Canis lupus familiaris: one gene and its partner. The protein of the gene in region 1 interacts with the protein of each later gene in a biochemical or structural test. Links are inferred from orthologs where the notes say so. Each region holds a gene or a part of one and is shown in the gene's direction. Other genes may lie near its edges.

Evidence for each region.
Region 2: the proteins of KEAP1 (region 1) and AMER1 form a complex in vitro, tested with the Homo sapiens proteins (2 studies listed by BioGRID). The link is inferred for Canis lupus familiaris from reciprocal best matches to the Homo sapiens genes KEAP1 and AMER1.

What each region holds. Positions count from the first base shown.
Region 1 is NC_049241.1:51,048,492-51,052,690, forward strand, and holds the start of KEAP1 (kelch-like ECH-associated protein 1), read left to right. Parts: upstream 1-1,399; 5' UTR 1,400-1,577; intron 1,578-1,816; exon of another isoform or gene 1,817-1,973; intron 1,974-3,553; 5' UTR 3,554-3,600; coding exon 3,601-4,199. UniProt on the Homo sapiens protein: Substrate-specific adapter of a BCR (BTB-CUL3-RBX1) E3 ubiquitin ligase complex that regulates the response to oxidative stress by targeting NFE2L2/NRF2 for ubiquitination.
Region 2 is NC_049260.1:49,175,899-49,186,161, reverse strand, and holds the start of AMER1 (APC membrane recruitment protein 1), read left to right. Parts: upstream 1-4,182; 5' UTR 4,183-4,375; intron 4,376-10,263. UniProt on the Homo sapiens protein: Regulator of the canonical Wnt signaling pathway.

The sequences.
Region 1 (4,199 bases):
GGGCTCATCTCACAATTCTAAGATCATGACCTGAACCGAAATCAAAGTCAAAGCTTAACCAACTGAACCACCTAGGTGGGCACCCCATCCTTTGTTTCTTAAATTCCACATATGAGTGAAATCATATGGTATTCATCTTTCTCTGACTGGCTTATTTTGCTTAGCATTATACTCTCTAGCTCCATTCATGTTTTTGCAAATGGCAAGATTTCATTCTTTTTTATGAATAATATAAATATATACATCTTCTTTATTTGTTCATCTATGGATAGACACTTAGGCTGCTTCCATAGTTTGGCTTAGATGGGCTCTTGTTAAAATAAATACATTTAAAAATTAACTTTATATCATAATCAGCATGAATGGCAAATCAGTATCCCTTGCAGTGAAAAATAACAATTAGGGCAGCCCTGGTGGCTCAGCGGTTTAGCGCCGCCTTCAGCCCAGGGTGTGATCCTGGAGACCCAGGATCCAGTCCCACATCAGGCTTCCTGCATGGAGCCTGCTTCTCCCTCCTCCTGTGTCTCTGCCTCTCTCTCTCTCTCTCTCTCTCTCTGTCTCTCATGAATAAATAATAAATAAAATCTTAAAAGAAAAATAACAATTGTTCATATCCACTGGGCACTAGCATTCCCATTTCACCCTTATGATCACCTTGCAGGTAGGTTTTACAGGGAGGAAATTGAAGCGTGAACAGGTTGAGGTAGGGACCTATCCCTTCGGAGCTGGACAGTGGCGGAGCCGGGCTTCAAACCCCTGCAGGCGAACTTCACACACCTCTAGACCGGAAGTAACTAAAAAATAAAGATAAGGAGGGGCGCCTGGGTGGCTCAGTTGGTTAAGCCTCTGCCTTCAGCCGGTCAGAATCCTGGAGTCCTGGGATCCAGCCCCGCATAGGGCTGCCCGCTCAGCGGGAAGCCTGCTTCTCTGTCTCCTTCTGCCCCTTCCCACTCGTGCGGGAGCTTGCTCTCTCACTGTCTCTCAAATAAATAAAATCTAAAAAATAAAAATAAAAACAAAGAAAAGCCAACTAGGTAAATAAATCTAGCCGGATCCTTCACCACTGGACCCAGAGCTGCGTGGGGTTAAAGGGAAAAGAGAGGGTCGGGGAGAGCAGCCACACGCTGAGATGCTGAGATCCGGGGGATGGAAGGGGCCAGCGCAAGTGGGGACGGACCCCCTCCCCCCCCGCCGCCGCCCTGCTCCCTCGCCGTCGCCCGCTCCGCGCCCAGGGGCGCCGGGCACCTGCGGGAAGGGCGGGGAATCGCGGCTCCCTCCCCGCCGCGCCTCTCCGCCCTCTCCCCGCCTCCTTCCCCGCCGACCCGAAGTCGCCCCCCCACCCGACGTCCAAGACCCCGCAGGCTTTGACGCCCCAGAGCCAAGGTCCCCCCAACGGCGGCCGCGGGCGCCCCATAGCGAAAGTTAGGTGGGAGCCGCCCCCGGCCGGGCCGCGGAGGGTTGCTCTGGGGGTTTCCGGGAAGCTCTGCGCACGGGGGCACCCCTGTGCCCGGAGCCACTGCGGTGCCCCGGGCATCCCCGCCCCGCGGCCGGAGCTACGAGGCTGCGCGGGGGCCGAGGTGAGCGCGCGGCCGGGGGGGCTGCCCATCCACCTCCAGTGCAGGCAGGGAGGCGCCGGGCCTCGAACCCGGGCTGAGGTTCCCGGCGGCTCCGACCACGCGGCCGGGCGCGCCGCAGTGACGGGCCCGAGTGGTCGCCCCGCCGGGGCTGCGCAGCTCCGAGACCCGCGGCGGCGGGGGGGGGCGGGGCGGGGCGGGGCGGGGGGCGCGGCGCATCCGTCAGCCCCGCCGCCGCCGGAGGCCCGGGCCGCGGGGACTCTTATTCTGACACGGCCGGCGCCCGGCTCTGCTTAGTCATGGTGACCTGCGCGCGCTCCGCGCCTCCCCCCGGCGCGCAGCGATGGAGGCGCCCGGGCCTGGGCGACGGAGGCGGAGCTCGAGCGCGGCCATGGCGGGGTGAGTGAGGCGGCCTGCGCCCGGGCTGTGGGTACGGCGGGCCGGGACGGCCCCGGGGGTCGGGGGACGGGGCGCCGCGGGCCCGGGCGCCTTGGGGTTCCCGCGGCCCCGCGGGGGGCCAGGAGGGCGAGGCCCGAGTCCTGGCCTTTTGTTGGACGGCGCGACTCGAGGGCTGGCCCGGGGGCTACGCAAGCCGGCGAGAGGCCCAGGCAGCGCCCCGCGACCGAGGGCCCCGGAGCCCGGCGCGCCGGGGAGCTGGGAGCGCGCCTCGGGGCTGCCAGCGGAAAGGCCGCGGCAGGGTCACTTCCTCCCTTCTCCGGGCCTCGCTGGCGGCTCGGGCAGGGCATGCGCAGTCCCCCCACCGCTCGGTGGGGAAGAGCCCGGTGTCCAAGGGGCACCGTCGGCCGCCTGGCCGGAGACCAAGAGGCTGGGCACGGGCCTCGGGCGGGGAGAGGCGGCGAGCGGCCCTGGGCCCGGTGGAGGAGGGTGCTCCGGCAGGCAGTGAGGCGGGCAGCCGGCCAGCCAGCCACCGCGTCCTGACCCCTGAGCAGTGCCAGGCCCCAGGCAGGACGTTGGGGAGGCACATGCTAGGGTGGGCGCGACCCTGACCGACCCGGGGCTCCCTGCCTCCCGAAGCGCGGGGCTGAGAGGCGGAGGCGCCCGCCCGCCCTCAACAAGCCAGCGGCCGAGCTCATCGCCGTTTCCGACAAGTGCGGTGGTAGAAGTAAGACAGGGAGGAGAGGACTGCGCTGGGTCCGGGAAAGATAAAGGGAGAACCCGGGGAGCCTCTTGCAGATGCCCCTCTTCTCCCGACAGGACCTTTCAAAACAGCTCGTGCCCTGGCCCTCCAGCCTCCTCAGGGTTCACGGAAACCTTCCCTTTAGCAGGATTTCTTGTTACACTCCTCCCTGATGCTCCAGCTGGTCTCTCTCGCTCTGCCTCCGAGCCTTTGCACTTGCTATTCCCTCTGCCTGGAAAACCCCTTCCGTGTGTGCATCCTTCTTGTCTCCGCTCTAACAGAGCCCCCGACTACCCGATTTAAAGTAACTGCCCCAGGCCACACTGTCGCAGTGCTGTGGTCCTTTTCTTCATAACCCCCCGTTCCTACTCAGGTCTTGTTTGTTTTACTTATGGCCCATCCCTCGCCAAGTGTCCTCCAGGGGGGCACAGTTTATGTCTGCCTGTCTCCACTGGGATGTCTCCGGTTCCTGGTACACAGTAAATAATCAGTAAATGTTGGTGAGGCCAATGAAAGAATGAGCTAGATGTGCTCTGTCTAGGAAGGGAAGAGGTGGACAGAGGCGGACTGTGTAGGGCTTTAGTAGGACACTGAAGAGTTTGGTTTCACTCATTGTGCTGTAGGGAATTGTGGGAGGATTCGGCACAAGGGAAAGACATCATCTCACCTGTGTTTTAAATTGGACTCTTGGGCTGGTGAAGCCATGTGGCGCTGAGTGAGCACAGACGGACATTGCTTCACCTGGGCTTGGGAAGGAAAACTGGTCTAGGAGTCGTTTTATCGTAAAAGAGGAGGCCTGCCCCCAGGCCCTGCCCCCAGCCCTGTGCTCTCCCTCCTCCAGGCCTCTGAGTGCCAGTGGTGGTGTTGTCCCTTGTCACCTGGAACCCCATGCAGCCGGAACCTGGGCCTAGCGGGGCTGGGGCCCGCACTCGATTCCTTCCCCTGAGGTCACAGCGCCCCGAGGGGGCAGGGGACACGGTGATGTACGCCTCCACCGAGTGCAAAGCCGAGGTGACGCCCTCCCAGCACGGCAACCGCACCTTCAGCTACACGCTGGAGGACCACACCAAGCAGGCCTTCGGCATCATGAACGAGCTGCGGCTCAGCCAGCAGCTGTGTGACGTCACGCTGCAGGTCAAATACGAGGACGCGCCAGCTGCCCAGTTCATGGCTCACAAGGTGGTGCTGGCCTCATCCAGCCCCGTCTTCAAGGCCATGTTCACCAATGGGCTACGGGAGCAGGGCATGGAGGTGGTGTCCATTGAGGGCATCCACCCCAAGGTCATGGAGCGCCTAATTGAGTTTGCCTACACGGCCTCCATCTCCATGGGTGAGAAGTGCGTGCTCCACGTGATGAATGGCGCCGTCATGTACCAGATCGACAGCGTCGTCCGTGCCTGCAGTGACTTCCTCGTGCAGCAGCTGGACCCCAGCAATGCCATTGGCATTGCCAACTTCGCTGAACAGATCGGCTGCGCTGAGCTGCA
Region 2 (10,263 bases), on another chromosome or scaffold:
CTGTATCTAGTTTACCATTATCCAAACACAGAGCCTGACACAGTGGTGCTTAGAAAGTGGCAACACCACTCTGGTGGATACTGGCAACTAAGCTTAATATTAGACCTGAAGATGCCTCACTTTGCTGTGTTCAACAAACATAGGGTGAGCATTAAGCTTGTGCTAAACTCTCTGTTGGGTGTTAAGGATACAAAGATGATCAAAGAGATCCTCTAAGAAATTTGGTCTGACTCTGTACAATCAAAAGTTGTGTATAAGAAATCATAGACTCAAAAAAAATCATAGACTCATGTGTGTTCATATCAAAAAGTGGCTTCAAAGTCATAAGTTCTATAACTCTGAAGATGTGTACATTGGATTAGGAGACCAACAATAATAATAACAGTAGCAGTGGCTAGCATTTATTGAGGGCTTTGGATGTATCAGGCTCTGTGCTAAATACTTATATGAAATACTTAATTTTTACCTCAGCTCTGTGATATGGGTACTATTATTCCTATTTTGCAGAAGAGAAAACTGAGACTCAGAAAGGTGGAATAACTTGTCTAGATCACATCACCCCTAAGTGATGGGGCCAGCATCCCAGCTCAGGCAGGCTGGTAGCAAAGTCACTACACTTGCTTCCCTGAGAAAGATAAACTTAGCTTAGCTGAGCCTCAGTCTTTTAGCCAGTCACGGTCTCATACACTGGCTCCAGACCTACCTTTTTTAGCCCCAATTTTCAGTTCTTTCTCTCCCCCTATACCAATATGCACCATCCCCAGGTGTCCAGAGTCCTAGCTCTTGCCCAGCCTACTACATCCTCTAATATTGATGGGTTTTGGATTGGGCAGGAATCTTTTCCCTAATTTCATGACTTGACAAAATCATCAAGGTCATCCCTTCAGGGGAACATTTATCTGATGCCCCTCTCCACCCTTGGGGATAGGACGCTCTTCATCTACAATGCTCCAGATCACCTTTGCCAGACTAGCATTCAGCTCCTCTCAGAACTCCATCCACAGAGTGCCCATTCTCCCAGAATGTTACCACTGTACCCCCCTCTTCCCAATGCTTATCACCAGGCCTGGCATAGAGGAGGTACCTATGAAACATTTAGTAAGGAAAGAAAGAAGCACTGTATTCATGTGGACCAGTCTGTCTACCAGAGTTTATTATGAAATTGCCTCCACACAGCCTGCTCATCTGTTCTTATAAGCTTTTCACTGCAGCTACTGTTGTGCCCAAGATTGTGAATCCGAGAAACCACCAAGGAGCCGACACCGATGCAAGCGCACGAGGGTTTATTAGCAAGCTCAAGCTTGGGTCCAAGTATACCCGACACAGGGGAGCAGGGACTTGGACCCCGAAGTGGGTTACAGCTGGGTTTTTTATAGGCTGGTCTAGGGGATTTTCAGAAGGGGTGGAGGAATTTCTCAAGTTCTGTTTACATTCTGATATGGGGCTTTCAAGGGCATTGAGCTCTGTTATCATTCTAATATGGGAATTTCTACCACAGGCGTGGGCTCTGTTGTCTTTCTGATATGGGATTCTCTGCCCAGGGCAATTCTGAGCTCTGTTGTCTTTCTGATATGGGATTCCCTGCCAAGGACATTGAGGACATTCTGCAGTCCCCCCCCCCCCCCCCCCCCCGTAAAGTTCAGCTCTTATTCACAGGGGCCTAAGATGGCTGTACTTGTGCTAATGCTAAACTTTAGGTGGGATGGCCTTAATTTTTCTCGGCCTCCACACTACATTACACCAAGCAGCAGAGGTATTATCCCCATTTTGTAGGTGAAGAAACTTAAAGTATTCTTGCTCTCCCATGACCAGCCCCTATAGTGATCAAACAAGCTGATCATGTGTCAGTCAGCATGTGGAAGTGGGGCCTGGAGGACTCCCTCTTTGAGAAGGCATTTTGAGTTACAAGTTTATGCCAATACTTGGTCGTTCCATACAATGTCTCTGGTGAGGAGTGAATCATACAAGTCAAGAGCTGTGCCACCTCATCACCACCCTCTCCTCCTTAATGTACACATATACAATATCATCCTGAGACTTAGAAATATCAAGACCAAGAAGAAGGGCACACAGCTGGGAGACCAATTTAGCATGTCAAAGACTACTTTTGTTTTTCTAAAACCCTTTATCTTTTGGACCCAGTCCAACTTTCAAGGCTAACTGGTATGGCAGAATGTTTGGTAGCTGGGAAGAGGACATGGAAGACTACCTCCTGTAACAGGAGTAGCACAGCAGTACCTCCTTACCTCACAATTATTTCAAGCCCATCACTGGACTGTTTGCACAATTACTATCTCCCTATTCCCATAGCTGAGACTGCCCTGTCCCTGTTTTGCCCTTGGCTCAAGATTTGGAAACTGTCTTCCTCAAATTGTAATATTTGGCCTACTTCAGAAAATCAAGGTTTTGGGTGAAACATGAACAAATGGCAGGCAACTAGAGGCACAAGGGAGTTGCAGAAGACTATGGAGGAGGTGCTGAAAAAAAGACATCTCCAATTCAGATCCAACAAATGAGAATCAGGACTTTACAAAGCACAGCTCCAGGGAAATATTATAGTTCAGCCACCCATATGGGAAAACTAAGGCTAGGGAGGAGAAAGTACCCACCCAACAAAGTTACAGGGGCCTGTAAGTTATAGTAGGTGGCTCCCTACTCCCTGCCATTTATCCAGACTCAGGACCAAATTAGGAGGTCTGATGTTCAAGTTACTGATTTTTGTTGGAGATGTATAGAATGTCATGGAAGTTGGAAGAGATCAAGGAACTCGGTCAATCTTATACCTTGCTTGTGGAGATGAGGTGATAAACTGTCCCAGAGAGGAAAATGGACTGGCCAACGTGATACAGCAAATCTGAGGTAGAGCTGGAGCCAGATCCCAGCCCTAACAGCCATGGAAGTTCCTGTATTCCACACATGCAGAGGCAACAGTCCTCCTCTTTCCACTCTAGCAGTTAGATCTTTTCAAGGCATACAGGACCCTCTAGAGTAGCAGAGAACACTCCTGCTGCAATGCAAAAATAGTAGGCATTGTTCTCTAATCCCTTCTCTCTCTCCAACTTTAATCCCCTCACCCTTTTCAGATATTCAGAGTTTTAGGGTAGGGCTTTCTGGATATTCTTGAGCTAGTGGTAGAACTGGATTCCTTATTGCCTCATCTCACTAGTCCTTGGCAGCCCCCTACTGCCCTCAGGCTGGTTAAGACCCAAGCTCAGGCTGGCCACCTGCCACATCCCAAACACAGAAGCCAGCTGGGCTGGTACAGGCTTCCTCACTCCACCCTCAGCCTTGACCTCCAATCTGGGCCCACACAAGATTTTTCCCTCAATTTGTAGACTTTTCAGGGACAGGGAAATGTACAAAGCCTGGCTTACCATGAAAAGGTTGAGGACCCCTCTAGAGTCCTTGGAGATCCCCTCTTGTTGCATGAAAGATGGGAAATTTGGGTGAGGGTCAAACTACAGGAACAGGTCTCTCCAGAGAAAACTGAAAGCAGTGTAGGACAGGAGCCTGGGGTTCTGAATCCCAAATCTGCCCCGTCGCTGGCAGGCTAGGTGATCTCAGAAAAGTGCCTTCCCTTTTCTGAGCAACAGCAGGCCCTTAGGTGCAAACTGACCTCGATGGGCTCTTGGTGTGCCTGAGAAGCCAAAGAAGCTGGGGCATGGACGCTACAATTAGATTTCCTGGCAGGTGAGTCCCCCCTCTGAGTGGCCTGAGGGCGGGTGCCACCTAAGGTTGGGCCTGGTGAGGTGTCAAGGGTCTTCGCAGTCCCCCAGGTTCTCCAGCTTCTCCGCCCGGCCTCTCCTTCTAGAAGAATAAACTGCCGGGTGGCGGTCAGGTCGCCTCAGAACGATTGCACAGAGTCCACGGAAATGGGAGCTTAATGCAAAACCGAAACCGAACTCCAGGGTTCCAGCGAGCCCCATCTGGGCGGGACCGGCACAGCGAGCTCGCTGGGTAGCCAAGCCCAGACCCGCCAAGTGTGGGGGCGGGAATAGGGAGTCCCAGCAAGGGGTTCTTCACCCTCTCCGCCTTCTGCCCACACCACGCCCGTGCTTATTTGCATTTAAAGGAAAAGGCACCAAGGAAAACAGTGGGCGGGTCAGGACACGCCTTCCTACAGTGGCGATTGGGCCACACGTCTGCCAATCAGGGCGCGGACGCCCCACCCTGTGTCTGTGGAGTCGTTGGGGAGGGGGTATGGGGGAGCTCCCCCAAGCCTGGGGAAGGGGAGCCAGTGCAGGAGGTGACTGGAACCGCGGTGGCGGCGGCGGGAGCAGCAGTGGCGGTGATCTCAGCCACAGCAGCCTAGGCTCCAGCCTGGGCCAGTGCGGCGCAGCAGACAATAACCGGGCTGGAAACCAGACTCGGCCGGGTAAGCGTTGCGCGCAGCCGGGAGCCTCCGCCTGCCAGCAGTCCGGTGCAGTCCCGCGTGCTCCGCTCTGGCACCCTGAAGAGCGGCTCCAAGAGCTGGGCCAGTGGGCGTTCGGGCCGCTCTCCGTTCTCCCGGGGAACCAGCTTTGAGGACTGGCTGGTGAGGGGAAAAGCAAAGTCCTCTGGGAGCGGGCGACCGCGGCTAGAGAGGGCGTAGAGGGCGGGTAGGCTAGCAGGCTAGCCTGGGCCATTCCTCCAGGCTCTCGGGGCAGGCGGGGATGGGGCCCACACGTGCTACCGCAGGGGCCCAGGGGGGGGAGCCGCCAGCCAGCACCCCCAGCGGTGCATTTGTAGGCCGGGAGCTCCGGAGCTCCGCAGCTTTGTTGTAGCACATTAGCTGCAACAGCTGTGTTACGTGGGTATTGCTCACCCCAGAGGCCCAGCTGCCGCCCCTTCTCCCCTGCACATCCCCTGCCTGCTTCTCCACTCTGTGGGATGGAGCCAGCGCGCTGGCCTGGGCCCAATGGATACTAGCTTTGGCGTGGATTGGGCTATCCACACTGTCGGCCTTCTCTCCCAGAAAGCTCAGTTGGGCCTGTGGGCTGTCCACTTAGGAACCTCGGCCTTGTGGGCCCCAACCAGCCTCACCCCCTGCTCCTGGGCCTCCAGGCACATCTTGCGCCCGCCCCCGCGGAAAGGCAGACTGGCAACGGAGTTCTTGCTGGACCTTAGGCTGGGGCTGCAGCTCAAGCTAGTCCTTGGGTTAGATCTGCAAGGCCGCTTTGTCCCCTCTCAACCCGCCTCTTCTCCCCTTGGAGAACACAGGCCGCTTTTTTCTCTTCTGCCCCTCATTTAAAAATAGTGATAAGCATCGTGTTGGTGGGGGGATTTCTGTGCCAGAGGCCGAAGGAGCAATTATTGTAGTAGAGAACACACTGTTTGTGTCTGTGTGAGAGAGGTAGAGAGACAGCCAAACCCTCCAACTTCGCAGTTACTTAAAATACCCAGCCTGCTGAGCTGCTGTCATTGTCTACCGCTGACACCTCTGACACAGGTGACCACCTGACTGCAGGACTTTGCCTAGGCTCCCTGGCAAAGACAGGCTGTGGCCTCCATGTGATCCACAGTCCAGGTGCCCAGGTAGCAGCTGAACTAGCCCCACAGAGCTGGCCTCGGTTTGGTCAGGCTCATCTTGTCATGGCCCACATGGTCAAGGGGAGTCTCCTCCTGCACACAAACATTTACCTCTGTCACTCTGCTGGCCTGCTGCACAGGCATGGATATGGGCTAGGTGGAGGGTACTGTGCTATTAGACTCCCTGCCCCACCTGAGGGCATTTTAGCAGAGCCCTCTCCCGGCCATTACAGCTTCTCACATTCATCCTCATCCACCTCTCAGTCACTGTCCCATGGTTTTCTTCTGGCAATACACTCTAGGCCTTCCCAAGAACAGGAGAGACAAAGTGACCAAGCGGCTGGCAGGCTCTTGGACCTTTAACCAGTCTCTGAGGTGGCGAACCCTGTGGGCTGCAAAAACTGGGTATTTGAGAGGAGTAAATCCCTCACCTGGGGGAAGGCTAGCTGGGGACCTTTGTGACCCAGCCAGGACTGCAGATAATGCACAATAGTCACTTCTTGCCACTTTGACCAGACACTAACAGAAACCAACCCTCTGCAGCTAGGGCTGCAACTCAGGGCTAGACCTGCTTTTCTGCCCTGCCTCAAACCAACAGCCACCTATTTCTTCCATATATAACTCCCCTCCTTACACCCAAACCACTGCCCAAATGCTTTTCCCTCTCAGGCCTTAGCTCTGGGCCCAACTTCTCCTGCGTATCTTTTCCGCCTGTCTCTTGCAACCCGTAATGACCTCTTCTTTCTCAGAACTCCTCCAGGCTTGCCTGCATCCTTTGGCCACTTAGGAGCCTAAATTATAATAGGAGACAAACTATAATTAGGTCTCCCTGCCTCTACTTTGTCTTCATGATATCATGGATCATTTACCCACAGAAGGGTAAATGAAACCTTGAACTCAGCCACAACCCCCTCAAAGCCTAGCAATGCATAACAATTCATGAATGCTCCAGAAGGACTTGCTGTCCTTGTGGATATTTCAAGAAGATCTTCTCCAAGTTACACTTGTCCTGATCCATATGAAAGTGATTAGAGAAATGATACTCAAGGCTCAGATATTTATTGAGTATACCTAATGAGAATGGAGAAGGGTGATGGGTTGCAACTATAAGAACAAAATAAATCATGTCTCCCTTCAACAGCAAGCTCAAGATCTATACTGCCTAGACCCCAGACTACACATATCTTTGGTTGCTGATTCATGAGCCTAGAGGCAAACTACTGTGGAGAGAGAGAAGAAATCTGTATATGCAGAGAGATCACCCTGGAAGCTTCCAGAAATTAGAGGGATTTGGCTAGGTATAGGGTAGTAGTATAAGCAAAATTAGGAATGTGAGGGTGTGGCTGGTAACCAAGCTGAAAGATGTGACTTCAGGTTGAGATTGTTGCATTTAAGGTAGAGAGGAGATTGGTGCCCAGTGATGGGTATTCCCAAATGTCAGGCTGTGGAATGGGCATCTTGATCTTGGGAGAATGGAAGAAAGGGCCATTGAAGAATGGAAAATTGGGAGGTTTTGATACTTCTATGTGTATATACAAATATGCCATAATACGGGATTTTAGAAAGAGGTCTTAGAGATTGAAAGCATGCTGTAAGTCGGAACTGTAAGAGGTCATCTTTGAATCTGGACATAGAACCAAAGGGCAGCTTTCTCTGGAGGAACTTGTGCCATGTTGGCTTCCCTTAAGCTTTGCAGGGGATGAAGTTGAAGGAGGGTGCCTAGAGCCTGCATACCAATATGGTGGAGGCTAAATATCTCGCAGGCCTCTGATGATCTCCATCCTTCCAAATGGACAGACCTTCAGGGAGTACCAGTTTGGACTCCTGTGCTTATGAGATGGAAATTCTGATCCTGGAAAGCAACAGGGACTTCCTTAAGGCCACACAGCATTTAGGGATAGGCTGCCACGGCAGAGGGGCTTCCAGCTCCCTCACAGATAGGCTACTCTAGGCTAGAAGAAGGCATGTCCTGTGTTATTCCATCAGTTCCCCTGCCTTGAATCAGTCCAGGCAAATAAACTAAGTGATAAATGTAAAGGCTCCAGAGGAGGCATTTCCTCCTTGTGTCACTCATTCCTCAGCCACACATCTCACACTGCCAGGAACTTCTTAGGGCTAATCTGAGCCTTTCATGCCATACATAAACTGTGTGTGCATGCTTGCGTGCATGTGAGCGTGTGTGTGTGTGTGTGTGTGTGTGTGTGTGTGTGTGAGAGAGAGAGAGAGAGAGAGAGAGAGTTGGGGGATGAAGTTGGGGGCAGCTGGCCATCATTGCTCCTGCTTAACAAACCATTGGAGATTTCATGGGCATTAAACTGTCTTTCCTACTCCCAACTTCTGTTCTCTGAATTAGATAGTCAGAGCTTTTCACCTCCTCTCCTTGGTCTTATTGTTCAAACCTGTGCATGTGTAAGTCTATCTCTAGGAATAAAGTTAGGGAAACCAGAGCCACTGAGGAGGTGTAGGTGCCGTCTGAGTGAGGGTGCATTGCTTCCCCACACCTCCCCTTTTGGGATTAGGGGATAATATAGACAATGAAGAAAATAATATGAGGAGTCTTGGTGGCAGCACAGGTAGAGATATACTGGTGTTACAGGGGCATTTGGGACTTTTTGATCTGCAGTTCTCGTTGCAGAACCTTCAGTGCTTTCATCTCCTACAGGATTTTTTCCCTGCTAGGCTTCCAAGCAGATACTAACTCAACTTCTCCATCCAGCACTCGTCAGTCCTCCCTGCTTGGGGGTACTCAGTGGAGAGAGGCTGGGCTGGCCCAGTTATGATACCCTTCCCCTCTGGACATATGGGGAATATTTGCAGGCCAGGCCTAGTGCTTTTTGAAAAAGTAAAATGTTTGGTGGGGTTCAGTGGAGGGAGGCATGAGAAGTGAGGCTGGGCTGTAGTACAGTGGTGGACTGAGCCCTATTGGCTAGGCATGTAGGCCTTCCACTGAAGCCTAGGACCCCCAAAATCACATGCCCCAACCATGGCTCCTCTTTCTGCAGCCACTGGAAAACTGGGCACAGGACTATCCTTCTCCTGGCTTCGCACACAATCTGGGGCAAGCAGACTCCTAGCTCAATCTCCCATTTCTAGATATGGAAACTGAGGCCATGAATAGGGAAGGGATTTGCTCAAGTTTACAAAGGAGCACAAAGATCCTGGCCCTCAATTCAAGATTTCTTCCTCTGAGTACACTGATTCTGATCCCCTCCCAAGCCTCAATTTCCTTACCTGGTCTCTCATATAGAGTATATTACATACAGGGCAGTGGATACATGGGTAAGTTCAGGGTCTCCATTGTTCATTTGGCCCAGCTGTTCCTCTTCAGGCTTTAATTGGCTACCTTGTCACATCTGTTTCCTTGGAGTTAGCTCCTCTTATTCTTCATCTCAACTTGGTGGGGGGAGGTGGTACCTGTCTTTGATGCCACTCTTGCTGGGTTAGTGCTGACATAGAAGCCTTACTATGCAGGCAAGGCACCCACCTCAGATATATTCCTCTCTAGGAAGTTTGGGACCCTGAGAAGGGAGTAGCAAATAGATGGCTTGGCTCCTAGAGCCCCCATCATTCCAGGCAAGCTGGGCAGGGAATCTCAACAGCCTGAGGAGAAGGTGGAGCATCAAGAAGGCTTACCAGGAAAGCCAATTTCTAGGAAGAAATGATGTCCTGGTGACCATACCTTCCAGACTATAGAAGTCCCTATGTGTTGAGGGCTAAAGAGTAGAGAAGTGTGGCTAGGAAAACAGCAGGAGGCATGCAATGTGAGTGAGTCCTGAAGGTCAGGAAAAGGGGTTTGACTCTGATCCTATAGGCAGTGTGGAATAATTTGGTAAGTAGAGGAGTGCTGCATTGAAATCAGGGTTGTAAAAATGAATCTGGCAAGAGTGTGAAGAAGATGAATATGGGGAGGGAAAGGTGGGATTTTAGAGTTGTGGCAGGGAAGAAGCAGAGGGAACTCAGCTAAGAGACTTGTGTCAACCTCAGAGGACATGGGCTGGCAGCTGAGGAGCTAGAGTGGAGAAGGCGGCTGCAAGAGGCCCTAGCACAAGGGTCTTTTATTGAATATCTGCTTAAGTAACTACCCTATTGATTTATAATCTCTGATTCTTACAGCAATCCTGCACGATAGGTAGCATTTTCTTCATTTTCTAGATAAGGTGTTTAAGTCTCAGAGAGGTTAGGCCAATTTCTCAAACCCTACCACTTGTAAGGGGTGAAGTTAGCATTTTAGTTCTGGACTGACAAACTCTAGCTGAATTAGATTTCAATTGAACCAACGTTATTTGAAATCCTGCTCTGTATTAGGTATAGTGACTATAAGATTAAGAAGGATCCCTTTGAGAGAGATGAACAGACAGTCTGAGGCCTGCCAGAATGAATTGCCCTTGGCTATGTATGCTAACTTATTTGAGGGGCTGGTGGTGGGCAAATGGGAGCCAAGGCAAGAGGGCTCATTTTGGGGGTCTGTGCTACATCTAGAGGTTATGGGATACTCCCTTGAGAGGATGTGCTCCTTAATGGTAAGGCTGCAAGTTAGGGGAGAGGTGGTTGCAGAGGTTGCTTGTGTTACCCCTGCCTGCAGTCTCTACACGAAAGTGTGTGAAGACAGGTAGCCTTTCCTTCAGGCCCTGAACAAATGGTTTTGAGAGTGTACCTTGGCTGTGGGCTTCAGAAATGGGTGGTTCAAGGTCCAGATCATCTCATAAGTTATTTCCTTTAAGCAGTAGCTCAAATTCTCATCTTTGTCCCCAGTGG